Styela clava: one gene and its partners. The protein of the gene in region 3 purifies or fractionates together with the protein of the main gene of each other region. This does not show direct contact. Links are inferred from orthologs where the notes say so. Each region holds a gene or a part of one and is shown on either strand. Other genes may lie near its edges.

Region 1 (7,311 bases), on a different chromosome or scaffold from region 3:
AAAAGCATAAGAAAGTTAATTATCGTCATAATAAAAATCTGCATCTCGGTATCGATAATATTACCGCACGCTTAAAATTCGGACGGTAAATTTACAAAAGTTGATAAATAATGAAGACCAAAACCAACGCAACCTGTATAAATAAATCCTCGCAAAAAACAGAGAACGGGCGGGATCCAACTTCAGGATATCGCCGTAAAAACCGGCCAATGAAAAAATATTCGTTATTCGTTAAAAATATTCAAATCATTCGATTCGAAAATTTTTTCGATTTTGCCCACCCCTACTTAAAACCATCTGTAAAGAGCAATTTTTCTGTGAATTTCAGACCAAAATTATTTGAAAGTCATCAAAAGAAAACTGAACTACCCAAATAAAAACTTTGTATATCTCATCAAATAATTTGATACCGAATGTCATAATATGACCCATCCCATACTTCCTGTTTATTTAAGAATAGAATAGGGCATCAGTAACAAGTCTTCAACTCTAGCAATCATTTGAAAAAATCAACACACCCTATTTGTTACTGTGTCTTGATTTTATAAATGGAAAAATGAAAAACAGTGATAACTAAAATATTCTCACATCCCATTTAAGCATAAATTATTTTGTGGTGTAACACTATACAACTCTTATTATTACCTGTTTGTTAAACTGAAGAATTCCTTTGGTCGGATATACCCACGTGCAGGCTGCAGGGAGAATAACATTGTCAGCTAAGCCTATCCATTGTAGTACCTAGAATAAGTCGATTATTTGAGTTCTTGAATAGTGAAGGCTGGGGAATGGTATATTGTTCCCAGCATTGGGAAATGTCTGCCGCTGAACCTCTGATTACCCTGCATGGGTTTGCAGGTTCGAACCCAGTGCAATTAAACAAATAACTGACAAACTAATGATGGCTCGGCAGTGTGGCACATCATGCTAAACTTTAGAAATACGCCCGCCATCGCACCTAGGATTACTTTGCGTGGGTTTGCAGGTTCGAATCCTATGCACGCAAGGACGGTTATTTACAAGAGGATTGCTGGACTCCTCGCCGCCGTAGGGTGGTTGATGAAACCATTGGTCAATTACGGCTTCTTTGATAATGCCGTCTTATCAACTTTCCTATCCCCAGGATATGTAAATCCTATCCTGATACCATATCAAACATGGTCTGGTTACCGAAGACAGGCCAAGGCAAGTCATGTGATTATGCCATCCTATTGACTTTCCTCTCCCCAAGGGTGAATATGAAAATCCTATCATAAGCAAATAACCTTCATCCTCTTAGTAACATTTGATTACTGTATGACAGATAGATGTATAAATAATGATTAAAATAAGGTTGAAAATATGTTCCTGAATACGAAATTAAGAAAACAAATTTTGAAATCCAATTCATTTAAATTGTTGAAAAATATGTTTACTTCAATCCATAAGTAACATAGCCGTTGTTGCAGAAAAGAACTAAACGTGCATGCATGGCAATGGATATAGTAATATTGCAGAATTTTCCAATATTAAAATTGTAGCTTGATTTTGAATCTATATAAAAAATTAGGATGCCAAAATTTCTTACTTCTGCCTCTCTGTCTCCACCTCGGGTTTGTTCGTTTCCAACATAATGAGCAATTCCGTTTGGTTCAAATAGCTTCACATCACCACATTCAAATGCTGGAACCTGTTAAGATATCAGTGCATGCTTTTCAAAGGGTTTAAGTTAAGAATGATGAAAAGTGTTGCGGAGGATGAAAAAATTACTATAATTATTGAGACTTAAGAAAGTTTGAATGGAATTAGTTTTCGCTTGAACTGCATTTAATGACAATATTAAATATTTATAATAATTTAGAAATGTCGGAATGTAGGTTATTAAGTATGAAGAAAGTTTGAATGGAATTAAGTTAGTTTTTGCTTGAATTGAATTTGGTGACAATATTAAATCTTTCTAATAATAAAGTAATGTACCGTAATAAATATGTTTAGGGTCTGGTATAGTTTCGTGCCTCAATTACCGGTACTTCTGATGGGCGTAGAAAACACTTTTTGCATATGTCAATACTAACCCCCACCTGACTGCGTCATGCAAAAATTACGTCACAGTGACGTAATAAGGCCCTTCAAACTATACGAACTGTCATCCAAGACGCGCGCCTAAAATTGAGCTATGTATTTCTGGGTCTCGTGTAGTTTCGTACCTAACGTATTTCTCATAGGCGTAGCATAACAATTTTTTGACATTGCAATCCTAACCCTCACCTGACTACGCCATCCAAAAATTATGTCTCTACGACGTCGCAATCACGTCATAGAGCTTGTCAAATACTCGTATGATCGCCCGAAATGGCATCGGCGCCGACGATAAAGAACTGACTAACGTCAGCGATCTCTCTCCTATCGGGATCGTTGCGACGAGAAAATGAGAAAAATGGCTATTCGATTTCGGGTTCTCGTCTGCGCGTCTTGGATGAGAGTTGGCATAATTCGAAAGGCTCTATTACGTCACTGTGACATAATTTTTGGATGGTGTGGTCAGGTGGGGGTTAGGATTGACACGTGAAAAAATTGTTATGCTACGCATACTAGAAGTACCTTAGGTAGGAAACTACACGAGACCCGTACGGTACCGTATTTCTCTCGTCAAACAGTCAGTCGAAATGATCCCAATACAGCAATATCAGAATATGGGAAAGATCGATAGACCCGCTAAGTTAGCTAGACAATGACAAAAAAACAATTAAAGGATCTTCACCGTCCTACCTTCCCAAACGGAAACTTCTTGAGAAATTCCGCCGATTTATCTGTTTCTCCAGCAACAAAGTTTGGATAGACATTAACTGTCTTCCCGCTATATTGAGCAGCAATCAGGATCTTGTGTGCCCGGAAACTGTCGGGAAATGTATATAGTGTGCCTGACATCGTAAAATAAACTATCCAGAAGTTCTGTACCCAACCAAATTTCGAGATTTTAACCAAAATCGCGAGAGCCGTCAGCGTGCAAAAGTCGGACGTCCACCATGGACAAAAAAGGAGTAAAATGACACGCGGTTTTGTATACGTCATTTTATTCTCCGAATGTCACTACCTGACAAACACTTAGATATACTAGGTATTTTAATTTTATTTTGGAATGTAATTACCTGATATTATTTTACTATTTACTTATTATTAAACACGAACTGAACCTATAGATCGTTTTGTTATTAATAATATTATGTTGTTGTTAGTATTCTGAGTTTTTTTGTTGTTGTTGTTGCTGTGAAAAAATCATTTGTCTTTTCAACTACTGATTCGATTTCTTGAAAATTTTTAATGATCTAAGATTGTTGTTGTTACTAGGAGGCCATTCTGTTATTTGTTCCTATTTATTTATTTTCTATGAATCTTATGAGAGCTTATATTTCGTTCAAAAGTTTATTTATGGGAACACTGTTTTTATTCGTCCAAGCGTGACGACGCAGGAGTTGAATTTGTTTATTGAGGTGTAAGTTGTAAAAGTTATAGGATACGATTTTCGGAGGAAGTGTGTGTAGAATATTTTGTTTTGGCTTTCTTTCGGTGGGTAAGGTTTTTGAACCAGGGGTCAAAAATTTTGCCCACCTAGTCTGGCGGGCAATGTAAGTGTGATGTAAAAAGTTACATTTTATGAACATTATTTATAGTGTTACAAAGCAAAGGTGAAAAACATTAAGCCTCCTAATAAGACTGAATTTAATCGCAATTTCAACAAATTCCTTGAGTTATTTTAGCTAAAACATCAAAATTTGTTTTTAGTTTGGTTGTCACAGCATCATGCGGGCCAGATTGAATTAACCAACGGACTGGAGTTGGCTCGTGGGCCGTACTTGGCCCATGTCTGGTCCAGACCTTTAGTTATCACGTAAAATTATCTTGCTTAGTTTGATTCTATATAAATTTTGAAAATCCTGAGCGTGTATTTTTTTACATATCCGATGAAATTAGAAGCATTCCCGTTTGAAATTGCGTTTATCACTGAAATGAAAGCCCATTTTTTTACATTAATTTGTGACTTAACGTGTAACTGAAAAACAAGGTGGGTCACTTGTTACCCGCTGGTCAATCGCTCGCCATTACCATATATATATATATAGTCTTAATTGAAAAATACCGTACTCCTAATCTACTATTATTCTGAAGTGGACGGCAAAGTTTATGTAGTACTTGACCAAATATGCACATTGACGGTAGTGTTGCGCGTTGCGCCTAATAAATGCTGCCTTAAACTCCGTGTTACATACATCCGTGCTTAGATATTAATAAATTGATGAGCAATTTTTATTTTATGCATTTAAAATGAGGTCGTTCGGGGGTCCAAGAATCGTTCATGAGCTCAGTTTGCCGTCCACTGCTCTACTAGAGTCAAGGCAATCTTCTCAGCTCGGAGCGCAGGGTATTACATTCGGTACGTGAACTGTAATTCTTGCGCTAACCGGAACTGGAGAATACAAATTCATACTCGCGAGTCCAATATACCGGTATGTAGGCCACCGTTGCATGATTATTTATTTAAAGGTTCAGTACAAATAAAGCAAATAAATTCAAGCGTTTAATACATTCACCACATAATTATTCGTGTCGTGAGATCTTGATTTAATATTGAATTGCATTTATTAGTTGATAAGACTTAGCATCCAGTTCAGCCAAGTTCGATTATCGCCTTGCAGAAGACTTCGTTTTACGATAGGACGACGTGGTCTGGAAGGTCTTCTCCAGTCTCGTCTCGACGAAGCTACAATATTGATAAACATTTGCCAAATTCTTCGTTCAATTCAAGCAGAACTTGAATCAATTGATAATTATAGTTATCTAATATACCACTAAAAGTTTATATTCCATACGTCCGGATGCTTATGCCACAAAACTTGATTTGGAAAATTCTGTAGACGACACGTATTTTGATGAATTCCATCATTTGTCATTTTATTACGCCTTTTATTTTCTAATAATATACAATGTTCCAGTTAGAACCAAAGCTAAAGTTCATGGACTGGACAACACGCATTTTAATGAGTCACATGTGGTTCAATCCAGTATTGTTGCGTGACTTAATATAACCCATTAAGATGACATACCTTTATTGCATGTAAATTTTGGCGTTGTCCACTCTCCATTTGTGCAATAAACCAATGTGCGTCCCCGTGGTTCATGACCACGTAAGCATACATACACAACAAGTATTTGTTCTCTGTTGAGTCGCCTTTGTATAGTTGTGCGAGCGTTTTCTACGGACGGTGGATTTTGACAACCAGCTGTAAACATGTATATATAACGTGTTATGCTTTCATGACTAGTAGGGCGATGTGATCAAATTTTCCTTTGACATATTCAGAAGTGATGCTTCGGCCCAGAGAACGTTTCTTTCTGTCCTTCTTGCTCTTTTCGTTATTTTCAGTAAATCTCTAAATTTTACAATAAATTCATAAAATATTTGGAACTTACCGTGGCATGCGAATTCAGGACTTTCCCACTCTCCGTCCTGCCCACATTTTATTCTTGGTATTCCACTCAGTTCGAAACCGTTTTTGCATCTGTAGTAAACATATTGTCCAAAGCGTATCTGTCTTCTAGTGGACACAAATGATGTTAATACGGCGTTTTTAACAATGGTTGGTGCTGGGCATGTTCCTAAACACAATACAAATATAAAACATTAGTTAATCGCATTAACGAACCTAAGTATATAAATGGCTTTTTACCTGCACAAACAAGGCGAGGTTTAGACCAAGTCAAATCATATTCGCATCGTGAAAAGGCATGTCCTCTTGCTCGGTAGCCCGGCTTGCACGCATATTTGACAACATCGCCAATAAAATATCTCTCTTGTAATAAAGGAACTTCCGCATTTTTCACCGGAGGAGGCATTGGACACGAAACTTGAAAGAAAGAATAAAAACAATATAATAATTTATTTTAATCTAGAATGATCGAAAGACTTGGATGGATATCATTAAGATTTCTTGCTATGGTATAAATTAATGTAGTTTCATCAATCTTTAATATTTGGTAAAAAGGAGACAAAAGAGAAAACATATCATGTGGGACATCTGAAAATATAAAAAGTCATCTCAAGTAAAATTTTCTTTAGTTTTTGATAGTTTTTTTCTTCTTTTCGTTCATACTATGTCCATTTCTAGTTGCTATACTTAAAAAATTTGGACTTCTTCATTTTTCCATAGATATGTCTGCTCTTAATTTTGAGTAAGGTCTTATTCGCAATAATATTCATAATTCAAGTTTAATTTTATCTTTCCATCGCGACGAATTTTGGATTATAATATTTGTTCACGAGGAATCCAAAATTGGTGGGCATATTTTATTGCATTCGTATTATAAGAAAATATAAATAAATATAGTTGTTCGTTTTAGTAACATTGTAAACCTTTTTAATTAAATACATTGCTATATGTGGATATAAGTAGAGGAAGCTCACCAATACAAGTAAACTGTGGTTCTGAAAACTGTCCATTTTCTTGACAAACAACATGATTAGTTCCATACACTCGATACCCGTCTGTGCACTGATATTGGACAAACTGTCCAACTCCATATGATCTTACTGGATCAATCACAGAGGCATGATCAATTTTGGGTAATTCTTTGCAGCCGACTAAAGATTGTCAAGAAATTCACACTGGATTATTTATTTTATAGATAGTATTATTTAAAGGTATAAAAAGTTTTGTTAAATAGCATTAAAGACTCTGAGTTTATTGCCAACAAGTATCTCCAAAACTTACGTACAACGTTTCATGAAAAAATGATGAATGTATAAAGTAGAGAGGTATGTTTTCGATAAATACTTACGATTATGTACTTATACGGAAACGTGGAGAAATGTGAATTAGTTGTTTAAATTCGAAGGACATTCGAAGCTGGCCTTCCCTGTTGTATGCTGTGGGGCCAAGTCGAACATATATCCGACAGTTTGGTATACCAAACAATGTCATTTAATGGTTTATTTATACTAATGGAACTTTTGTTTCTTATTACCTGGAGCCATTTTGCAGGTAAATTTGATCCCATAATGACATGGAACGTCATTCCATTGTCCGCTTCTAAAATACAGCATGACGACACAGTGTTCTAAATCCTGTAACAAGCTGTTCGGTTGTCCTGGTCGCCAATGTTTGTAGGTCTACATGAAAATGAGTGGGCGCGTTGGATACAGTCAGCCAGGAGGTAGTTTATTTTCCCGCAAACCAAAAGTACACATTGGACAAACGTAATTGAGAAAGATAAAAAAATGTATTGAAGGGAAACGCGATAAACCAGAGATGGTTATCGAGCAGCGTCACCTTTGAG
Region 2 (7,622 bases), on a different chromosome or scaffold from region 3:
CGCATAACCATCTTATATATTTAAATTTATAGAGTAAACTAATCTATAATATTGCTGCTGCAATTTTCATTAATAATCGCTTTGTACATATACACTTCATTTTCTCAATGACATTAACCCTTTCCGTGCGGTGGGCACGTATACGTACCAACGACAAAAGTCGCTAGATTGCGGCGGGTACGTTGATGTACTCCACTGTTTTCTTTAGCAATCGGTCGCAAACTGTTGGTCTAGTTTTTCCGGGTTTTAGTTTATTGATAAGAAGTCTTCTTCGAGATTAACATAAGCGACGGTAAATCTCGCTCTCGTTTACGACGGGAATTTTATTTGCGGCGGAACGAGGGAGTGTTTTTGAAATTTATGCAAATTTCGATGTTTTTTGGGTGGTAATAGAAGACATATTATCCATTCCATCTACCAAAGTATTTTGAGTTAGATCACGAAATTGGTACAGCAATATTATGCTATTGTTTGCCAACCACGAAACGGTAACAGTAAAGGATTTAGCGAATATTTCTATTTTTTATCACGGTTTGAAGTTTCAACTCCCAAGGAAAAAAAAATGCCTTTTTTCTATCCGGGTTGTGACTCAGACCACCACTTTTAAAAAAACTTTTTTTTTCAATCGCCAATTGCAAGCTCTTTGAATAAGATTTCCAACGAGCCGTCAGTGGGCAGCAGAGGATCATTAGTTTTTCGTTAGTCGATCGATTAGTTGTGGGGGTACAAATGCGTAAAATCGGCGTAGCAAATACGATTATTTAATTAAAAATAAAAATCGCATGGAAAGGGTTAAACAACATGATAGGCAACTCTGACGTCACTCCATAAGACTACAGGCGAAACATTGTATTTCATGATACGCTCCAATGCACATATTTCTCGTCGACTTTCGCGTCCGTTTTCCGCTCGCTTTTGCTACTCGGCGTCTTTTTTACGTGTAGTACCTGTCTTTTTGCGTCTGTAACGAAACAAAATAATCTCTATATCTAAGAAGTTTTGCTCACTTGGAAAGCTGGAATGGCAGGCAAGCTGTAAAGAGCAATTCTGGACATCATAGACGTTTTTTTTTTATCAGAGAAGATTACAAACGCGATAGCGGAAAGATTTGTGTGGAACATTTTGCAGATAATGACAAAGTTCAAAGTTAGTAATTTTAATGTTTGCGCTTAATCATTGAAGTTTCTTTTTAGGAGGGTGTCATACAAAATTGTGCTGTGATACAATTCCATAACACAAAGTTTGCACCTATCGAACTTGCTTTTGTAGGTGAATTTATTAGACATATTACATATTCAGTTAATCGTAGGTAACATTGCTGGTACATAATGCATCGTAGATAGGTTTGTTTAAATTTAGGAATTTAGCTCATAGCCCACTAATTAATATTATTTTCTATGCGGTAGGTTGCAGGGCTGAATTCAACTTGCAGCCTTACCGACCACCTGACGATGCTCATTTAGTTTGGCTCGAGCAAGTCTTCTTGAAATGCTTGTGTGGATGGAAACTACCTATATTATTTGCCTTCCTCCGATTTTAGACAAATTTATTATGAGGGATTTCACATATCATTCTCATTGATGGTTGGCTGTTTATAATTCCTATTGATTGTGAATTCTGATTATAACAAAGAGTTAAAATTTTTTTTATCTAATTTACTGGTACCTTTTCTTGTCAATACTCCAAGTTGAGGTAATAAACAAGACAATACATTTATGTCATCTGGAAGCAAAATATGCACACTAATTAATAGTTTGGCACATTGAGATAATACATCATGACAGAAAATACAAGTTAAAGATATGTATGACCATCACATGGTAATTAAAATTAAAAAAAATTAATAGGGGCTGTGGAGTATGAAAAGTTCAAGACAAAGAAAAGAACAAATGTTCATAGCTCATGAACTCTCAATTTTGCCTCCATTGTTTTGTGAAGGCCAATATATTTCGAGTGGCTAAATTGGTTTACCTTTATGATAGCAACGATTTTGTATTTAATATAGCGAGATTATTTCAATTTAATTGAAGTGATATTATTTCCCAAAGCAATGCTTGAATCGTCTAGAATAGATCAGTGGTGTCAAACTTATGGGTTTTCGAGAGCCGCATTGCATTTTGGAAATTGTAAAAAGAGCCGCAAACAGTTTTTGATAATGTATACTTAAAAGATATTTTTAAGATAGTTTTAGTTTGTGACATATATTGTGATGCAACTAAACAGTTGGATTAAGTTTTATTATTTTCTTCAATTTCAAATGCAATTACATATTAATATTTGCATTCCACTATTATTGCAACATTTGCAAGTTACTGTAGTTATTATGAAAAATCATAAAATTCTATGTACAACCATCAAAATCATTTTTGAACAAGCTTTAAATAAGGAAAGAATAATACATACACTAAAAATAACTTAATCTAAATATATGAACCTAAAATTAACAAAAATACTACAGTATAAACTCAATGTTTTAATAATTACATTTGTCCTGACGTTTGGCATCTTTTTTGTGTCACCAGCATACTAAGGCCAGGCTGAAATGATTTTATAGTACCAACTCTAACTAACGAGGCCACATGATCATGGGTTAATCTGGATCTTTGCGAATGTTTAATCAATTCCAGTAATGCAAAAAAAGTACTTTTATCATTTCATGTATACTGTAGATCAGTAAAAAAACAAATGACAGATTTTTTCGACAAGACATTTCGCACCACATTGCGTGGCATAGGATTGCTTGAATTATTATTGATATTGATTTTTAGTAACTAAGTCGTTGTATAAATATATTAATATACAAACACATGGAAATTTTCTGTTCGAAGTGGGTCTTCGAATTTGTCATATTGACTGCTGAGCTTATTGTGTTTTTTCATTGTATTGATAGAAATATGACAATTTTGCGAAAAGCAGAAAAGTTACAACTCCCATTTTCTTCGAAAATGCCACCTTCTTCATGTACTTTGCGTTTAATTTAATCACTCAAGTGTTTATTCAAGTATTCTTTTGCAAGCTTGATGTGTATTCTTAATTGGGTCAAAATGTGGACAAAAAAAATTCATATTCCAAAACTACTTTCAGTAAATTGTTTTCTGTGTGAATAATCAATTTCACTTTAAAAGGTTTGAAAAATCTATTACATTTAGATAAAAAAAAAATAAAAATACTATTACAATTATTGTTAAGCGTTCGAGGGCCGCACTCGAAGTTCTCTGGGGCCGCGAGTTTGAGATCTCTGGTCTAGATTGAAGTTGTCCAAAAATATATATGATAGTATTTTATCATGAATGATGATTATACCCCTTCCGGAATTTCTTCTATAGTACTACCAAAAGGTGATGAACCAAATATAACACAGGTGCAGTGAGTTACCCGTAATCCTCATTTTCCAAAGCTGTTTCAAGTATGTCTGGCGTGTTTTGTGCCTCTTTACAAATAAGACCGAGTATGTAATTTTACGCTTTGCAATTTTTAGTTATTTTCCTCAAGCCCTGCAGGAATCAGGATGTAGGGGTCATACACAACTCTACCGGAGGGTCAAATGTCTTTGCATGTCACTGATATGTCGCCAGACTTCTGATATCTCCCCTTCTGCTATAGTTGTTCTGTGAATAAATAATAGGAAATTGTGATTAGACGAATAATTGAAAGTTTTGCTTTATGTCGGCTTAATTTCTTGATTGATATACTTACTATTTCTGCTATTGCCTCTTGTGCTGCAGGAGTCTCACAATGCTTAGACAGGTTTGTCCACAACTTTCACATCTGAAGAAAGAGAGGAGATTTATTAATTTTCGTTAAGAATAAATAAAGCAGTCTATATGATTTAGAATGGAAAAGCTAATGAATCCAATATCTCATGTTTTATGTAAAAAATATTTTACTGAATTTGGTCAATAAAACAAACTAATAAAAGGGTTTAGTCAGAAAATTACAAGCATTCGTGGCTCCAAATATTTGAGAGATCAGACTATACAATATAGACCGGTATGAGTGAAATGTTAGGTGGACTTGTTAACACTTTGATTCAATACGCAAATAAAAGTGAATGCGCAATAGTATGTTACAATGAGCAGCAATCAACAATGAGTATATATCCTCACTGATTAAAAAAATCTAACTGGAGGTGCATGAACTATTTGAAACCATAAGGGGTAAGTAAATATGTAATTTCGGCAAATGGGCAACCACGTACCGTACTGCATGTATAACTTCGTAGTATTTGACAAAGGCTGACTTTCCCACATGTACTTAACAGTGCGATGCCCGGGTGTGATATACAACAATAGTATTTACCTTACCTTTTTCCGATTTCTTTTTACCTTAACTTTCCAAAATATCATTAAAATCGACAACAACTGTCAAAGCAGGCACGAACACCATTCGTGCTACGCCTTGAAAGCAGCACACATCCGCTCGTTTTCGTCTCGTCAAGTATGTGCATTGGAGCGTGCTATCGAATACGATCTTCGGACAAAAATGCCGGAGTTGCGCATCATGTTGTTTAATGTCATTGATTTTCTGGATAAATTCGGCCCAAAATCTGTTTCGTGGCACGAAACCACGGTTTATCGGCAAAGCAATGAACCGTGTTCACTGAAGAACCCTTTTCCCAAATTTTGCCACGCGTTTGGTTTGGATTTCGTTCTCTTCTTTTGTTTAATCGCCGTAATTTCTTTAAAATGGGTTTCGGAAATTTGAAGAGTGACTGTGGATTATCTGCACTAAATACCTATCTCGAAGATAAAAGCTATATCGAAGGGTGAGCTTGATTTTTTTGTAAATTATCTCGTGTAAATGGGCATAAAAAAGGTGGGCAGGGCAGTGACGTCATACGCGAACAGTTAAACATATTTTGGGATTCATGCTTGCAAATACTGTAGGGATTACAATGAATACGGATTTCTATATAAAAAATATCAACATTTCCTAAAAAATAGTTATCTTCCCATACCGTAAAAGCGCCTAACTTCGGACAAAATTACTATATTTTCGTCAATAACTCGGCCATTTATTGTCCAAACGTTGCAAATTCGTGCGGTAATTTACATTCCCTGCAAATTTCGGTTCAATTGGACTATTTTTACTATTGAAATAATCGATATTTCTTGCCATCTGACCGTTATCCTTCACTGCCCTAACTTCGGACAGTCATTTTCTTCACTGCGTAACCGCGACGCACAGAGAGAAAGAGGCTTCCGATGCGGATGACGTAATCACGTCGTTGCGTGAAGATAAGACGCTCGATCGTCGTCGTAACGTAACATTGACGTCACGACGAAAATGCATTATTTGAAACTTCCGTCGTCCTATGTTTACATCTTTCGTTCGTCATTTTCGATACTTCAGATGAGTATAATAACACGTTAGTCATTTTAATCAGGAAATGCATACGTAAATATATCTGATGCAAACCGTTTCAATCCACAATGAAGTATTTTAACGGGCTTCTATCGAAGTCTTTGAAGTATTAATATTTTTATTCTGCGCGGTTATCTTTATAAATGATAATTTATATCAAACACACGGAAAATCCGATTGTGAAGTTTAATTTAAAATTCAACTTAATCTTGTAAACATGTAGGTCCCGTTTATTTGTTGGAGATTAAATTTATTTTTAATTTCGAGTGAATAAAATTCACCCAGGCCTCAATAACTGTCATTTCGACTACTAATCATAAAATAATGGTCGAGTCAGTGCACTGTGCCATATGGACGTTGGAATTTCCATAGTTTTATATATTCGATTTTTAACGTCATCGATTAAGTGTGACATGTATTTTCATTAATGTAATTTTGGCATATATTCATACATGACCGAACAAAATACAAAAATATTACATTGGAACGCCGTCTTTATCTTAACGGAAATTGTCATATTGGCTCCGTTGTGTCTGGCGTCAAAATTCATTTCCGCGACGCAGTGTGACGTCGTGTCGGAAGTGAGCGAAAAATAATCTACGTGAGTTTGACGTAATTTTTGACGCTGCGTGAAATCTTAATATTCTTACGGAATTTATAATTCAGAATTTTAGGTTTTATTTAAATCTCGTACGACATCTTGCGATCACTCAAATGAATTATATACATTGTTGTCGCCCTCTACCGAATGATGGTATTTTGACGAGGATAGCTTCAGTAGGAGCGACGCTCTGCGCCGTTGAATGGCGGGCAGTCAATTTTCGGCAAAATTTCCGTTTTTTCACCAAAAAAATAAAAATGCAACATTAAAAAAGATGAGAATAGATGTAGATATAACAGCGCAACCTATAATAATTAAAATTACCAATATACGGCGCGTTTTAGCCAAGATATGGCCGTTCAAAAATTTTGTCCGAAGTTAGGAACTGTCCGAAGTTAGGCGCTTTTACGGTATTGCTGTATTGAGATTTTTTGAACTTTATTCAGTTATTGGACATTCATTTAAAACTTTTTCCTGCGTTTTATGATTTGTAATTAGTGTATGAGGAAGTAAAGGCCTCATGGGTTTGATACATCTGGAAACCTGTCTTGACCTAATTTAAAAACTGCTGGGGCTGCAGCTATCTTTTTATTTTCTGGCAGTTGAATTGTAATTAAATTTTGCAAGGTGGTATTACATTACCGGTATTGCCATTTAGTTTGGATCGAGTGAAGTAGATACCATACCGTAACTGCTTAAATAACGCCCAACTAAAATGTGATGTGAAATTTGCGCAAGACGGACTTTCATTTCTATAAAAAATTGAAAATCTGGGTTCTATTTTCACATCACATTTATGTTTGGCGTTATCGAAGTACTCACCGCATTTGTGTTTGCGGATATTCAAGCAGTTACGCTTACTTCACGAGACCCTTTAGTTTTTTACCAACATGTTCACACAGTAAAATAAGATATTTGTTTTAAATTTTAGGTATGTTCCATCACAAGGAGATGTTGCCATATTTGAAAGTATATCCGGCCCACCCAATGCCAAGCATGTTCATGCGTTACGTTGGTACAATCATGTTCTCTCATACAAATCACAATTTGGAAGGTTGGTAAAACAGTCAAAACTTTCTACTATAATCCATAAAACATTGGTTTTACTATCGTTCTCAGCATTTTATTAAAGAAGTCTTACATATGCCAAAAGTTTTGTTAATTAAATTTGATGGTCAATAGTTAAGTATTTTCAACCCGAAGTTTCTTGTAAGTTGAGACCGTAGCTTCGTTTGTAAAGTGTGCCTAACTATGATTATCCTGCTGCAGACACCTTAGGGCAATTTGGACCCCACTGAAAATCGAAGCGCATCTGGTCGGGATAATGGTATTATGATTGAAAGACTGGTGATTCTGTCAGATCACACCTCACTCCCCAGTGCACAGTGATGAAACCTATTTACAAAGCTTTTCATGCTGAGATAATAATTTGGATCGATAGGACTGAGTGCACAGCAACATAGGGTTGGTGTAGTGTTATACCCTCCCAAGTCTGAGAATCAAATAAAATTTTGTATTGTGCGGTCTACATACATCCAGCGGCAGTGTAAGTAGTTGGAATCCTGCACTCGCCCTTACATAGTGTGGTGGCAATGTTTGTTGATGCATCAAAATGATGTGAATGGATTGATAACTTGTAAACTAGCGGCTCGCACGG
Region 3 (7,206 bases):
CTAAAAATGCAAAAAAAAACAACAACATTTTTTCCCATTCAATTCATCAACACGGTTTGGGATAGCCTACAAAACTCCATGGGTGAGGTGGTATGTATGGGAATTAAACAAGAGATTTTTAAATTGGGATACCAGCACTTTTAAAACATCGCTCTAATAAGTATCTAAGTTCGATTTAAATGCGACATTATAGCAGCATAGTATGATACTTGGTTATTATATACACATTTCTATTAATTAGTGAATTCACAAAACCCTAGGATCAACAGCCTTCTATTAGTTTTACTTGATACTTATATGTGAACCATTTTCTAATATATTAATGAAATATTTTTTTTTTAGAAAAAGAAAAGAATTGCGGAAGGAATAGAAGGTTGGCATTTTAAAATGTCTATAGCAGAAAAAAGTTTTGTACGAGGGATGGAAACTAAAATATTAATAATTAATGATTTCCATCATCGTTTTACTTCTCGGAAGATAATATTGAATAATAATGTTTAAACTGAATAGTATTGTAGGTTTACTTTTGACCTTCCTTTTCTTATCTCACTGCAGAACAGTATTTTGAACATTTCGCATTCGCGATATGATTCCATCTGATTATTGTTCGTTTGACATATTATTTCCAAATTTAGCAAGAGAAAACAACCTAAATATCGAAGACGACGACGATGATGATGACGACAAGGATGAAGAAATCGTCGCGACAAAACTCTCCGTAAATGCACCATCAAAATTGTTTCTTGCTTACTTCTTCGTGGTAAGATGACTTTCTTCATTAAGCAATGTGAAGTCTCATAATAAGACACTCTATTCATTACATGCCTCTATTTTGAACGGGACACGACTATAAAACTTGACAACAAATTCATATTTAGTTAAAATCCAGGGCATGTTATGAAAAGTGTATGACGATGCTCTAATTAACTCTACAATGTCATCGAGACGTAAACATGATAATTATTTCAACTTGATTTAATAGAGTATAAAATAAAGCGAAAGTATCTGAAAATTTTGGTTTATATACCATCTACACATAAAATTTCAAACACTTTCTCCATTTCGTGACGTTTATTACGCCATCGCTTTTGTACAATATGCTATGTCGTCTTTTAATTCGCATCCTCTTATTTTGTGCAAAATATTTCTCAGGTCTTGTCTCGCACCATAGTTGAAATTGGTTTTACTATTGGCCAGTATTATCTTTATACTTTCAAATTCATGGTACCCGAGTTGTGGCAGTGTCAACATTGGCCTTGTCCAAACGTCGTTGATTGCTTTGTTGGGAGGTGAGTGATGTATTATCTTGTAGCAATATGCAAAGCACAACCAAGTTAATATTTAATCAAATAGTATTACATAATAAAATCAAATTAAGTTTTAACAATCGTCTGCGCTTATATTCAAAAGAATTTAAAACAGATCATCCACGAAAACAGTTTCTGGAATATTTCGTTCGATTAGTAGATATAAAAATAAATTTCGTTACAGACCAAAAGAGAAATCAGTTCTCATTTGCGTATTTTTCGGAACCGGTTGCATCATGGTCATGCTGAACTTGTTGGAACTTTATCACATATCAGGGAATTTCTCAAAAGCATGGAAAGAGAGGGATGATGATATTACCAAACACGCTGACCAAGGGCCCAGTTTCGGTGGTATTGATGATTACGACTACAACGAGTGGGCTCCCGGTGCTGACTACATGGAAGATGAAATAGAGGGATATCCTAATGCATCGGGTTTACCGAATATTCGGCCTTTGCCATACGGTAGAAGGTTCCGACGAGGAAGGCGCTACCGTTGAAATTTCTGTACATTTATATTTATAGCATATATATGTACTGCAGTAACAACATGTTCTAGCAACCCCAAATATAGATTTGTTTGATACCTTTTTCCTGGTTTACGGAATATTTGAAAGCAACTATCAAATAGTCTTTTTAGTACGTATATTAGGGTTGCCATACCGTCCGGAAAATTCCGGACATGTCCGTAATTTAGGGTTAAATTTTGCGTCCGGGAAGAATTTAAAAAATGCCTAAATGTCCGGAATCCTGAATTTTACTGCATCTGCAATCGTACTGTGCACACTGCTAATACAGAACATTGGTATTCGTACCATGCGCATATTTTTTACTACGAGGTCATGAAAATAGTCATGCACTGTCCGGAATTTTGCCTTTTCAAATATGGTAACCCTAACGGCATTGAAAGATCTGTTAATTATTCATTATAATATATATGCATATGTTATATGCATATATGATGGCATGTTGGTTTCATGTAATTGGCTACTCGCCCATTATTCGATGAAGCAAACAATACAAAATGTTGTCGATGCTAAGATATTTATTCTTTAATCGATGTATATTCAATTATCACATGACGATTCAGGCACTTGAGTGTTTGCACAGTCAACAGATCTGTTCCTGATTTGGATCAAAAATCAATTTTCAAAACCTTGAAACATATATAAATATCAAAAGAGTCTTTAGAAACAGGATAAATTTATATATATAGCATTATATCACAATTGCTTGAAAGCCTATCTTAATGTCTGTAGATATTGATTAAAGCAAAATTCCCATTGCAATTGGGCGATTGATATAATTTTAATTCTGAGGCAAATTGAAGTTGATAATATTCTATCCAATTTATATTTGGCAATTTAAAATTTTTTTAAAGCTTTTCCACAACTACCAGACAAACAAAATTCTAGTTAGACTCTAAAATTCTTCGATTCAAACCTAAAGCATTGAAAATACACGACATTGATGTAGTTATATATATATATATATATACAAACAAGTAATTCATAGTACGAGTGGATAAAAGAAAAATGCAATTTGAGTAATCAAGGGATATTTCAACTGTACACGAGATAATAATATAACACTCGGAATAAGAATGCTTTTGAGCGTAAAGATTATTACAGAAAGAAACACCGTCAAGTCGATGTAACTGAAATAATTACGTAACAAGAGATGTTGAGCGAAGTGCTTCATGTTATTTTGAAAGCACCTTTAACCTCACTTAACCCCGGGCCAGACAAAATATTCTCATATCTTAGCCGACACTGATCTAGAATTGGAATAGCCAGCCAGTTAATTGTTCCGGATACGTGGACTTAGGTGGGGCGGATGGGGACTTAATCTTCCATCAGTTGCGTGAACCACCCGGCGTCGACGAGGGCCAATCAAGGCTGCATAATTAACACACAATTGCCGTTTATTGGTTTCATTAACTCTGCTACCAACTAAAAATCATTGCATTTGACTTGTTTATTGTATCTGGATTTTGTACTTTCCACAATAAAATACTACTGGTGATTTGAACTTTGCGTTACTCCCATCGAGTATTACATAAAGGATTTACATATAGCATAAGATAAGTTAAACTATGTCGTATTTCATACGAGGGAATCAATATGGATTCTACACCGGGGAATATCCCGATAAATGCTGCTAGTGCACAAGCTATCGCTGTCGAGTCGGTATTGTGTGCATTGCACCACCACGTATCATGAAAGCGGATAATTTTAGGGAAGTGGTTTGCCCAGACAACAATATTATGCTATATTTCGTCATTCAGTTGGGACTATGGTGCAATTCCTAAATGTGCATATATTAGGTAATTTTGAATGTGGTATATAATTTCTGCGTACAATGTTAGCTAGCATACTGTATATTGATATATCAGTTGTGTCGGCGTTCATTTCGGAAGACGAAACGTCAGTCACATGAAAAAAAATTAGATAACGTACTACGTCTTTTTGCTTGTGTATTAGAATGAATATTTGAACTTTCTTATAGGTTAATTAATGTATGCTAAGCGTAAGTAAATTATTCTTCCGTTCGTTATGTTAGTCGTTGGTTCCGACCCAACGGTTCACCTTTGACCTTCTATGGGTGACATGTGTCACACAAAATTAGAAATCTACAGTACAGCACAATTTTGCACTTGTAACGTAATTTTTAATCGTAGATTCGTAGTCTAATGCATTTGTGTGTATGTGTTGTGTTACTTCCTAATGCCATATTCAAATACACGGTAAAAGAATATATGCTATAAATTTGATAACGACACCTAGGCTACTTCATTTTATTGTTCCTACCTAGACTTAATTTTTGAAAGTTGAGGTTTCGAACGTCTGAACGTCGTCTAACAGTACTGCAGTACCGGTACCGGTACGTGCGGTCAGACGTTAGTAGGTAAAGTTGCATTCAGCATTTGAATCTTTGGTTTTCAGTGTTCAGGTATTGGCAAATGATAATTTATTGGTTATTATTCTGATGATGTCTGGAACGGTATTATTTCCTGAAAATTCTGAAAATTATTTCTGCACCAAGATACTTGCTGCAGTTGAATTCAGCAAAAGCAAAGTGAATATTAAAGTTGAATCATCTGAATCTAAAGGAAAACCAGTTCCAAGGTAATGGTTCATGCTATAATATATATTCAGATATTTTGTCTAAATTCTTGGCTATAATCCAGTAATCAATGGCGTATAAAAAATATTCTGTTTCAAAGGTATGAGTCAGGAAGCATTGTCTTCACAGAAAACAATGCTATTTGTCGATCTGTTTCATCAAAAAGTTTGTGGGGAGACAATGAGTTTGAAAAATCCGCAGTTTATCAATGGATTGAATTTGCAGATGTAGAACTTTATATTCCTGGAAGCGTCTGGACATTTCCTATTCTTGGCATCAAATCTTATAATAAACAGGTAAAACGTGTTCATATATACCAGTCCTAATGATGATTTTATGGGGAATTCGGTGTTTCTAGTCCAAGCATATTATGTCTTCTCATTGTACTACTTCGTTTGTCACATTTTAAAATATATATTTGCACCTTGTGCTGCCTAATATTTTATATAATTTTTCCATGTCTAGTAGAATTTCGTACCACAAGTAGCCTACTTCTAGTGATTGTGGCTCAACAATTTTTGCATATGTGATTCCTAACTCCCATCTCACTACGTCATCCAAAAATTACATCACTACAGCTCACAGTGATGTAATAAGGCCTGTCAAAATATGTGGACAGTCGTCTGAAACGGCAGATGATCACCCAAAATGGGCAGTTGCCATTTTGAGCGATCGTAGCTAGACTACACCTACTAGAAATGGTACTAAACTATATCAGACCCATTTTTTTATATCTTGTATCAGTTATTAAATTTCGTCATTATTGCATTGTATTTAATATTTTTTTATATTCGTGGTTTTGTGTATTTGTACAGGATTTCGCGAAAGCAAAAAGTGACCTAGAAAATGCGCTGAAGTGTTTGAATTCACATCTGGAAACTCGGACATATCTTGCTGGTGACAGAGTAACTCAAGCTGATATTGCTTGTGCAGCTGCATTGTATCTACCTTCACAATTGGTAAGTACTTTTGTTTTGCTACTCATCTGTTAAATTATGGTTTTAATTATTGGAGTCTTAGTTCAATATTGGAAGCGTAGGTAATAATGAAATTGAATGTGTTTGCTGCATCCTAACACTAATTTAGTTCTTTGAAGTTTCATCTGACTGTAGTGAAAATATTTTGTAGTTTTAAATCACTTAAAAAAATCTTCTTTCATACTTCCTATACCAACTTATTCATTATACATTTAGGAATCTCTTGGTGCAAAGGCATGCAGTAATGTTGAGAAAAATGTTTAGTTTATTTCATTGATTTCACTCCCAACTTTTCAAATTAACATAATTGGTTGTCCTTATAATTAAATATTCTGGTATCCCGATTCTCATTCATCATGATCTAGTTACCTCAAGTCTTATTGTTTCACAAATTTGAAATAATGATGCCATATTTGAAGCATTTTGCATCATAATGGAAATGTTGGTTTAAAGAATAAAGACATAGTTATGTTATAAAATATTTGTTTGTATCCAACATCTGTTTATAAACATTAATGAGTTATCCTGGTTATTAATAAAGACTGCATGTGTAGTATGGTTTGCTCAGCTGACTAAAATTAGTTACAGAAATACTCGGTTTTGGCAACACCTAATTTAAAATCCAGAATTCAAGAATCACTAACTCATTTTGTATTATAAGATTTATGGTATTATTATGTAGGTATTGGACAAGAAAACATATGAACCATATCCGAATATGACCAGATGGTTTACAACTGTGATAAACCAACCAGAATTTCGTAAAGTCCTCAAAGAAGATAATGAAATTCAAATTTGTGAAAAAGCAGAAGTTTTTGATGGCAAAAAATATGCAGAAATGCAGAAACAAATTAAGGCATTGAAAGATAAACCTAAAAAGTAATGTTAATTATCTAATTTTTTAGCTTACCTATCCGCTGACAAATTTCCATTATTTATGTACTGCAGGATGCCATAATATTCGTTACAAACAAATGGTGCTCAGATTTTATTTTCATTCTATAAATCCGTTAGCTGTACTAAAGTTTTCAACACTAAAAGGCTATTATCACCAAGCTAACATATCCTATCTTGGGGCTCCTGAAGTATGCGAACCAAGATGGCGGACATCGAAATGTAATATGTGTACTAGGTTAGGGTTAGGCCGTAATTTCAGGTATAAATACTACGGGAGACTCTTGGCTAGTCTTCGAACTGATAATAGGACTAAAATAAGGAAAATTGGAAAAGAATTATCGCCTAACCCTAACCTGTTACCCATGTTACGTTCCGATGTCCGCCATCTTGGTTCGCATACTTCGGGAGCACCCCTATCTTCTTGTATTGGCAAATTTAAATTCTTGCATAAAGGCCAAGGTATTATTTTTTAACCTTTTAGAGAAAATTCAAAAGATTCTAAAAACCAGGATGATGAGAACTCTGGTGCTGGAGACAAACCTAAATCAGCAGCTCAATTAAAAAAGGAAGCGAAAAAGAGAGAGAAAATGGAGAAATTTAATGCAAAGAAGAGTAAAATGGAAGAACAGAAAAAAGCTCAGCAGGTGATAATTGAAAAGTTGCTTAAACATTTAAGTGAAGAAAAATATATCCAAATTTGTGTATATTCTAAAATTTCGCTGTATTTTGATATCTTTTTTTCCAAAGCCTATCTTATTTTTCTTGATATTATAATGCCAATTGAAACAATTTCTAACAGTACTACTCAAAAAGAATTCATAGGCAGGTTTTATAATTTGGCTCTGAACATTTTCTGCCAATGATATAAATTCAGTTTCAAGACTACTCTTGATAACTGA
Region 4 (7,665 bases), on a different chromosome or scaffold from region 3:
TCTTTTGAGGTTACCCAAGACTTCCACCACTCACCACCCTGCTCAAAATTGAATTTCGCAATAACAAACTCACATGGTCCTCATGACGAGTAATTTCCTCCTCAAGGAAGTCTGTTCCAACTTTATCATCTTCAACAATGCAATTGATTTGAAGTTTCTTGATTCCAAACGCAACCTGCGAAATAGTATATTCTGTACCATTATGATGTTTCAAATGAGCTGAACTAGGCTGCATTTACCGATATGATTGTGCTTGCAACAAACAATGCATACAGTCTCAATATTGTTATGTCATCCAGATGGAAATTTACCAATCAAAAGAATACTTATAACAACTACTTTAGGCATATCGTAATGGCAATCATCAGTTGGTTACAGAGTACTGTTATATTCATATTATACAATATTGCTTTTATAGTTCCACAAACATTAAATTGAATCGTCGTTATAACTAATAAGGTAACACATCAATTGGGCCTCTACTTCAATGTATCTAGCTTGCAGGGAGCAATTCAACTACATAGCAAAAATCTTATACAACCTCTACTAATTTCGATGCTGCCCACTTCAATCCATCTGTTGAGATATTCCTCACAAGTCTCTCCACTTCCCCCATGTCTGTTTGATCATCCCACTGTTAATAATGAAGGTAAGAATTCCTAATTAAAAGGAGACCAATATCACAATCACAAAAGTAGAAACAAGCTCTACGTTCTTTTTATAATTTGTTGTATTTACACTTCTGCTGCAAACAAGGCTATGAATCAGTTGATCTCAAACTGTGGGCGCGTGGACAATTTTTTTCATTATTTACGTTAAATCCACGTATTTTCAACGTTTTTTTGCGCCAACGCGCCTTATCATCAGTTATTTATTTGTAGCTGATTGTTAGCTACTGTAGTTATTTTCGAGGTGGAGCACGAGACTTCACAAATTCCTAAAAGGGGACACATTTTCAAGGTGGAGCACGAGACTTGACAAATTCTAAAAAGGGGGCACGGCTTCAAAAGTTTGAGAACTGCTGCTCTAAATACAAGCCACACATGGGGTTGACCCTAACATCATTAGTCTTGGAAAGTGATCACACTTAAATTCCCTAGTTGCCAAAATATATAGGCCTGTATTGCTAGTAAAATGAGCAACACAAGATCTAATTGATTGCACAAATGGTCCAGTGACATATAAACAAGTACAAAATACATTTATGTAACCTAAACATAAAAGCTATAAACACTCAACACTGTTCAATATAATTCCATGATAATATATAACACCTAAAAAAGTATAATATTAACAAACCACCCAATAACACTAAATGTCAAGCAACATACAATTCATTATGCCAGACAACACATGGTCCTTCCAGTACGTTCTGGATGCTGGAGTAGGTGAAATTCTCATTAGAAAAACCTAAATAATAAGTGAAACTTACAGGTTTGACATCGAGTAGAATGCTAGACTTTGCTATCACAGCTGGCTTTTTAGATTTTTTTTCAGCATATTCCGCCAATCTTTTTTGTTTTATTTTTTCATATTCATCGTCTTCCTCAGAGTCAGATGCGAAGAAATCCATGTCGTCAACATCATCGTCAGATTCTGATTTTTGCTCAATTTCGGTTTTAGAAGGCTATACTTGCATTAAACAAACATAAAAGAAGGTAAATTGATGTTCAGCAATTTGCAATGGACCAACTCATACAATTAACAACCTGCACGGCAGTTTCTTTACTGCCAGACTCTAGTTTGCTCAGTCGTGCTTCCATCGCATTCATTCTCTCAACGAGGGTGTTCACCAACTTCCTCAAATCATCATTTTCACTTCGTATTGCATCGACTTTCCCAGAGTCATTGCCACTAACTCCCTAAAATATAGATTTATATGAAAGTTGGAATAAAGGGTCCTAGTTTTGATAAACAAATTTAATAAATATAAAAAAGTATCAGACATAACTACTATAATATGGTAATCTAAAAAAAACTGCAACATACAGTATCAGATCCCTGTAGTGTTTGATGTATTTTTTGTCTGGCTTGAGCAATTTGTTCTGCGACACCTGAACCACAAGCACCCTAGAATTTCATATAATTAAAAGTTAATTATTAGGTCTATAATGATACCACAGAATGAAAAGATTTTCAAATTTGCACAATTCATGCATAAATATTACAGTATTATGAGACAAGTACCGGTAATATTTGTAAAATCTGAATTACTTTGAAATAAATTATTTCATAAATTATTAACACGTAAGTCTGTAAGTGGCGACTTTTACAGGGTAATACAGTAATATTTTTATGACCTTGCATTACTGAGATGAGAACTCAGACAACAGGTCGAGGATGTTGGTTGGGGCTCAGGATGCTGGGTATGAGTAAATTTAGTAGGGTTCAGACAATTGTGTGATTATCAGAGCATGGTTGATCAGGGTGATTTATTAAAATTACTAGTAATGCTATTTTTTGCTTTGTTTTTCGAATTAAATCAGATATGGATGATGCTTTGACTAGGCTATCATTTATTCAAATAATAGACTAAATATTAAAATTATGCTTAATTCGCCTCAGATATTGAAAAAAATAAATCAGGCTTAATTCACCAGAGAGATTTGACTTAAGAGCAGTACAGACTTGATAATTTTGAATGAGATTTAAAGTTAGGTTATAGGCTAACACAGTTTCATTTCGATTATTTTATCAAGTACATGAAAACGTCCATATTTCAAAAACAACTACAAAACCATAGTAAGCTACCACCACCGCTATTAAAATACTATCACCATCACCCGTTTGTCAGCTTTTGCTGCTGGTTTTACCCGTTGTTTCGCCATGTACACTTCATATTTGTATTCTTCTTCTTCAACCTTTGGTCGGTCAAACCAAACATCCGACAGCAAATGTGAAATGGGGACGGTTGAAGGCATTTTATAGACAATAAAATCAAATCTGATCCACGAAATTAAGAAAAGTTGAAGGATGGAACAGAAACCAAAATCGTGGAAACTGACGAAAATCAGAAGGTGAAAGGTCATGAACACGTGAAATGAAGCATGTTACCGGATGTGCTCAGAGCACCATTACTGCAATATCCGGTGAACAAAACAACTGAAATTTCCAGTCTCTGTAACTCTATCCACCTATATATAATTTTATCTCGAGCTTATAGGTATATTTACTTCTCTAGTTTAGCGTTCCAGATACTTGAAATTGGAAGTATACACTATTTGGAAGGAACAGAATATTTTATGCTCTGCATAACCTACCCAAATTATGCAAAATTTCCTCATACTGAGGGTTATTTATCGTCGTATCATTTGTAATAGATGTTAGTGGAAGGTGTCACTTAAAAGAAATGCCCAGTGTGTTATATTCTCTCTTATACCATATTAGGACTCATTATAGAATATGAATTTCATATTTATAAAATGAAAGGGGAATGCCAATAATACGACTCAACAATATTACGAATAATGCCCTCTCGTCCGGTTACCAGTCAATAGCCGGCTTGGGAGTAGTTTCCATAGGCGTAGCCTGTAAATGAGCGCCCATATAGCTTGGATAACTTCGACAGAGAAATAAATCCGTGGCGAGATTCTTTAAGATGACGTTAGGTATCAATGGCTGCTCGTTCCTGAGCTTTTCGTGGCAAAAGGCGCGACTAAGCGTCGTATTATGCCATATTAAACCTTTCATTCGTTTCAGTCTCATAGACTTGATTGTACGGAAAGCGTACTTTTCAGAGGATACATTAGCCAATGTTCGACGATATTGAGTAAGGCGATTCTCTCGTACATAATGATCCCCCGTGGTATTCAAATCTGTGAGTCCATACAGAACAATCAGAAGTGCGACGACGAGAGTGTTCCCAACGCTTAAATCAACTTGATTGCAATTTCTTTAAAATCCACGTACTTGTGTTAAATACCCGATGGGTGTGGCGATATATATATATATATATAACTCTATTACGGTAGTTAAACGGACCTGCCATAATTGCAGTACTTAAGCGGACGTCGTTCCTGTGTCTGTATCATTGTTTTTAAATACGTACTTGGAGAGCGCGAGAGCCGTTGACAACTACAGAGAAAAAGAGTCAACACAATCCTCTCGATAACAGATATAAAATTTTTGTCCGCTTAATTCGTCCACTTAATTCAGACCACCAAATGTTTTAGCCTATTTCGGCACTAAGCCGGACCCCTCTTATATGTCGCCCTGGATGTCTACATAAATGATGCTGCTTTTATTTTATTACGCATTTTAAAGCGTATGACCTCGCTTTAATTTCCGATGGATGCGAACCATTTAGCATTATTTATCACAGAAAATAGCATTTTTTTTCAATGTTCAGTATTTTGTGCAAGGGAGAGGCACTGTGTTTGGTGTTAGAAATAATCTTCCATGTCAAAAAATACTCAAAATGCAACGTGAAGGTAGACAAATCGAAACAAATTGATTCAAACGTAATATATATTTGAAACTGAGAAATACACAGAGCATATCACAAATGTTCGCATATTCCAACCCTATGGTGTAACATATAGATTAAACAGATGCTATGTTGTGAGTGTCACAAACTTTATCTCAAATGTCCACCTATCCGGCCTTTTAAGTTATCCAAATAATTGTAAATGGGAATTCTGGTATGTCATTAATGAAGACAAAAATCACACAAATTCGATTTCAAATGTTCATCTATTCGGTCACTCAAATGTGGCACGTAATTGAAAAATGAACACCAGCCCTATTGAGAAACATTACACGAAATATATCTCAAATGTCCACTTATCCGGCATTTAAGTGTGGCATATAACAATTAAAATAAAAATTCTGAAATCATATTGAGAAATATTACAAAAAGTATATCTCAAATGTCCACCTATCCGGCCACCTAAGTGTGGCATACAAGAATTGAAATGAAATCTCTTAAATCATATTGAGAAATATCACACAAAGTATATCTCAAATGTCCACCTATCCGGCCACCTAAGCGTGGCATACAAGAATTGAAATGAAAATTTTGAAATCCTATCGAGAAATATCACACAAAGTATATCTCAAATGTCCACCTATCCGGCCACCTAAGTGTGGCATAAAGCATTAAAATGAAAATTGTGAAATAATATTGAGAAACATTACACAAAGTATATCTCAAATGTCCACCTGTGTGGCATAAAGCATTAAAATGAACATTCTGAAATCATATTGAGAAATATTACACAAAATATATTTCAAATGTCCACCTATCCGGCCACCTAAATGTGGCGTACAAGAATTAAAATGAAAATTTTGAAATCATATTGAGAAATATCACACAAAGTATATCTCAAATGTCCACCTATCCGACCACCTAAGTGTGGCATAAAGCATTAAAATGAAAACTCTGAAATCATATAAAGAAATATTACACAAAGTATATCTTAAATGTCCACCTAAGTGTGGCATAAAGCATTAAAATGAAAATTCTGAAATCATATTGAGAAATATTACACAAAATATATTTTGAATGTCCACCTATCCGGCCACCTAAGTGTGGCATACAAGAATTGGAATGAAAATTCTGGAATCATATTGAGAAACATTACACGAAGTATATCTCAAATGTCCACCTATCCGACCACCTAAGTGTGGCATAAAACAATAAAATGAAAATTCTGAAATCATATTGAGAAACATTACATAAAGTATATCTCAAATGTCCACCTATCCGGCCACCTAAGAGTGGCATAAAACATTAAAATGAAAATTCCGAAATCGTAATGAGAAACATTATGCGAAGTATAAATCAAATGTCCACCTATCCGGCCACCTAAGTGTGGCATACAAGAATTGAAATGAAAATTCTTAAATCATATTGAGAAACATTACACAAAGTATATCTCAAATGTCCACCTATCCGGCCACCTAAGTGTGGCATACAAGAATTGAAATGAAAATTCTGAAATCATATTGAGAAACATTACACAAAGTATATCTCAAATGTTCACCTATCCGGCCACCTAAGTGTGGCATAAAACAATCACAATGAAAATTCTGAAATGATATTGAAGAACATTACACAAAATATATATCTCAAATGTCCGAATACCCGACTACCTAAGTGTAGCATACAACTATTGAAACCAATTCCTGAAATCATATTGAGAAATCTTACACAAAATATATCTCAAATGTCAACTTTAGTGTGTGAAATATAACTAAAATACGAAATTTCGAATACTAATTATATTTTGATGTTGTGGAAAATTGCTCAAAATTTATCTCAAATGTTCACCTATCCGATAACTTGAGAGTGACAAATATTATAAAACAAAATTTTGAAACCATATTGAGGAACAATACAGAAAATATATCGCAAATCGTCATCTACTCAGCTACGTAAGTGTGTCATGTAAATGCAAAATGATATTTTGGAATGACAATAATATTAGGAAGCATTCAAAAAAAATTTCAACCATCCGACCATTTCAGAAGGTATGTAATTAAAACACGAAATTCTCTAAAAAAAATATCGAGAACCATTACACACAACATATCTCAAATGTTCAATTAAGTGGCGTTTTCAGTGGGGCCTATAAATGCGAAATGAAATTTTGCCATGTCAACTAAAATGAGAAACATTACACCAATTATAACTCAAATGTCTACCTATCAAGGCGCGCCTAAGTATAGCAGTGATTATACAGTCAACTATACAAGCGATCAACATGAAATTATTCAACCCCGATATCAATTTTGAATCTTTGCACAATTTATTTAAAATTTTTGCACCAACTCGGAATACAAAAACATGATTGTTATTTTGAATTTATAATTAAATAGTAAAAATGTATGCCAAGTATGTATACGAATGTGGATATGCCCACTAGATTAAGTTGTTGAGGAGAGACAAAATTATGTGCTCACTGCCGGTTCATCTTTATGAATTATACAGAGATGTCTTGAAGCTTTACAATAAACTTCTAGCAAGATATACAAAGCCGTGCAATTATTTTTCTTTTCGTCGTTTCTTTTCTGGTTCACGTTTATTTAGAAGCTTTTTTTGGAATTGATTTACAGCCCTTTTCTTTTCCGTATATATGAGTTTCTTTTAAGTCACTTACATTGCTTATTGAAAGTGATTCTGAAGATGGTGCGGTATAGTCTGTTGACTAATCTGAAACTTTGGTCAAAAATACATGCATAAGTCACAAAACATCATCACAGTGTTCTAGTCCAATTCAGAATTACGGTACTCTTGATTGACCGAACAAACGAAGTGTTTGAAATGGGGAATTGCATTATTACTCAAATAAAACAGTGGGGGCTCCCGAAGTATGCGAACCAAGATGGCGGACATCGCAATGTAATATGTGTACTAGGTTAGGGTTAGGCCATAATTCTAGGTATAAATACTACGGGAGGCTCTTGGCTAGTCTTCGAACTGATAATAGGACTAAAATAAGGAAAACTGGAAAAAAATTATCGCCTAACCCTAACCTGTTACCCATGTTACGTTCCGATGTCCGCCATCTTGGTTCGCATACTTCGGGAGCACCAAACAGTGTTTTTAAACGGTGCACTACAATTATTCGTAGATAGCTGCGCTATTTGTGATGGGCTACAATTGATATTATGATTTGGTTTATTACCATTCATTGGTATCAATTTGAGATACCGTGTTTAATT

The links.
Region 1: the proteins of valine--tRNA ligase-like (region 3) and elongation factor 1-gamma-like purify together in Homo sapiens (affinity purification with mass spectrometry; 6 studies listed by BioGRID and IntAct, counting the BioPlex papers as one, with this or other methods). This does not show direct contact. The link is inferred for Styela clava from reciprocal best matches to the Homo sapiens genes VARS1 and EEF1G.
Region 2: the proteins of valine--tRNA ligase-like (region 3) and elongation factor 1-beta-like fractionate together in Homo sapiens (co-fractionation; 3 studies listed by BioGRID, with this or other methods). This does not show direct contact. The link is inferred for Styela clava from reciprocal best matches to the Homo sapiens genes VARS1 and EEF1B2.
Region 4: the proteins of valine--tRNA ligase-like (region 3) and elongation factor 1-delta-like purify together in Homo sapiens (affinity purification with mass spectrometry; 5 studies listed by BioGRID and IntAct, counting the BioPlex papers as one, with this or other methods). This does not show direct contact. The link is inferred for Styela clava from reciprocal best matches to the Homo sapiens genes VARS1 and EEF1D.

The regions. Positions count from the first base shown.
Region 1 is NC_135261.1:11,231,357-11,238,667, reverse strand, and holds the start of elongation factor 1-gamma-like, read right to left. Parts: upstream 3,024-7,311; 5' UTR 2,908-3,023; coding exon 2,749-2,907; intron 1,670-2,748; coding exon 1,568-1,669; intron 742-1,567; coding exon 646-741; intron 1-645. Other genes in the region: uncharacterized protein LOC144430572, read right to left, coding at 4,620-4,738, 5,082-5,258, 5,449-5,634, 5,706-5,882, 6,440-6,616, 7,000-7,144. UniProt on the Homo sapiens protein: Probably plays a role in anchoring the complex to other cellular components.
Region 2 is NC_135263.1:4,633,631-4,641,252, reverse strand, and holds the start of elongation factor 1-beta-like, read left to right. Parts: upstream 1-4,606; 5' UTR 4,607-4,685; coding exon 4,686-4,765; intron 4,766-6,896; coding exon 6,897-7,019; intron 7,020-7,622. UniProt on the Homo sapiens protein: Catalytic subunit of the guanine nucleotide exchange factor (GEF) (eEF1B subcomplex) of the eukaryotic elongation factor 1 complex (eEF1).
Region 3 is NC_135254.1:12,253,327-12,260,532, forward strand, and holds the start of valine--tRNA ligase-like, read left to right. Parts: upstream 1-4,202; 5' UTR 4,203-4,295; coding exon 4,296-4,435; intron 4,436-4,533; coding exon 4,534-4,729; intron 4,730-5,248; coding exon 5,249-5,392; intron 5,393-6,092; coding exon 6,093-6,289; intron 6,290-6,788; coding exon 6,789-6,951; intron 6,952-7,206. Other genes in the region: gap junction alpha-3 protein-like, read left to right, coding at 343-373, 636-760, 1,153-1,289, 1,492-1,807. UniProt on the Homo sapiens protein: Catalyzes the attachment of valine to tRNA(Val).
Region 4 is NC_135255.1:3,748,375-3,756,039, reverse strand, and holds the start of elongation factor 1-delta-like, read right to left. Parts: upstream 3,019-7,665; 5' UTR 2,922-3,018; coding exon 2,784-2,921; intron 2,071-2,783; coding exon 1,990-2,070; intron 1,863-1,989; coding exon 1,710-1,862; intron 1,628-1,709; coding exon 1,433-1,627; intron 635-1,432; coding exon 542-634; intron 176-541; coding exon 74-175; intron 1-73.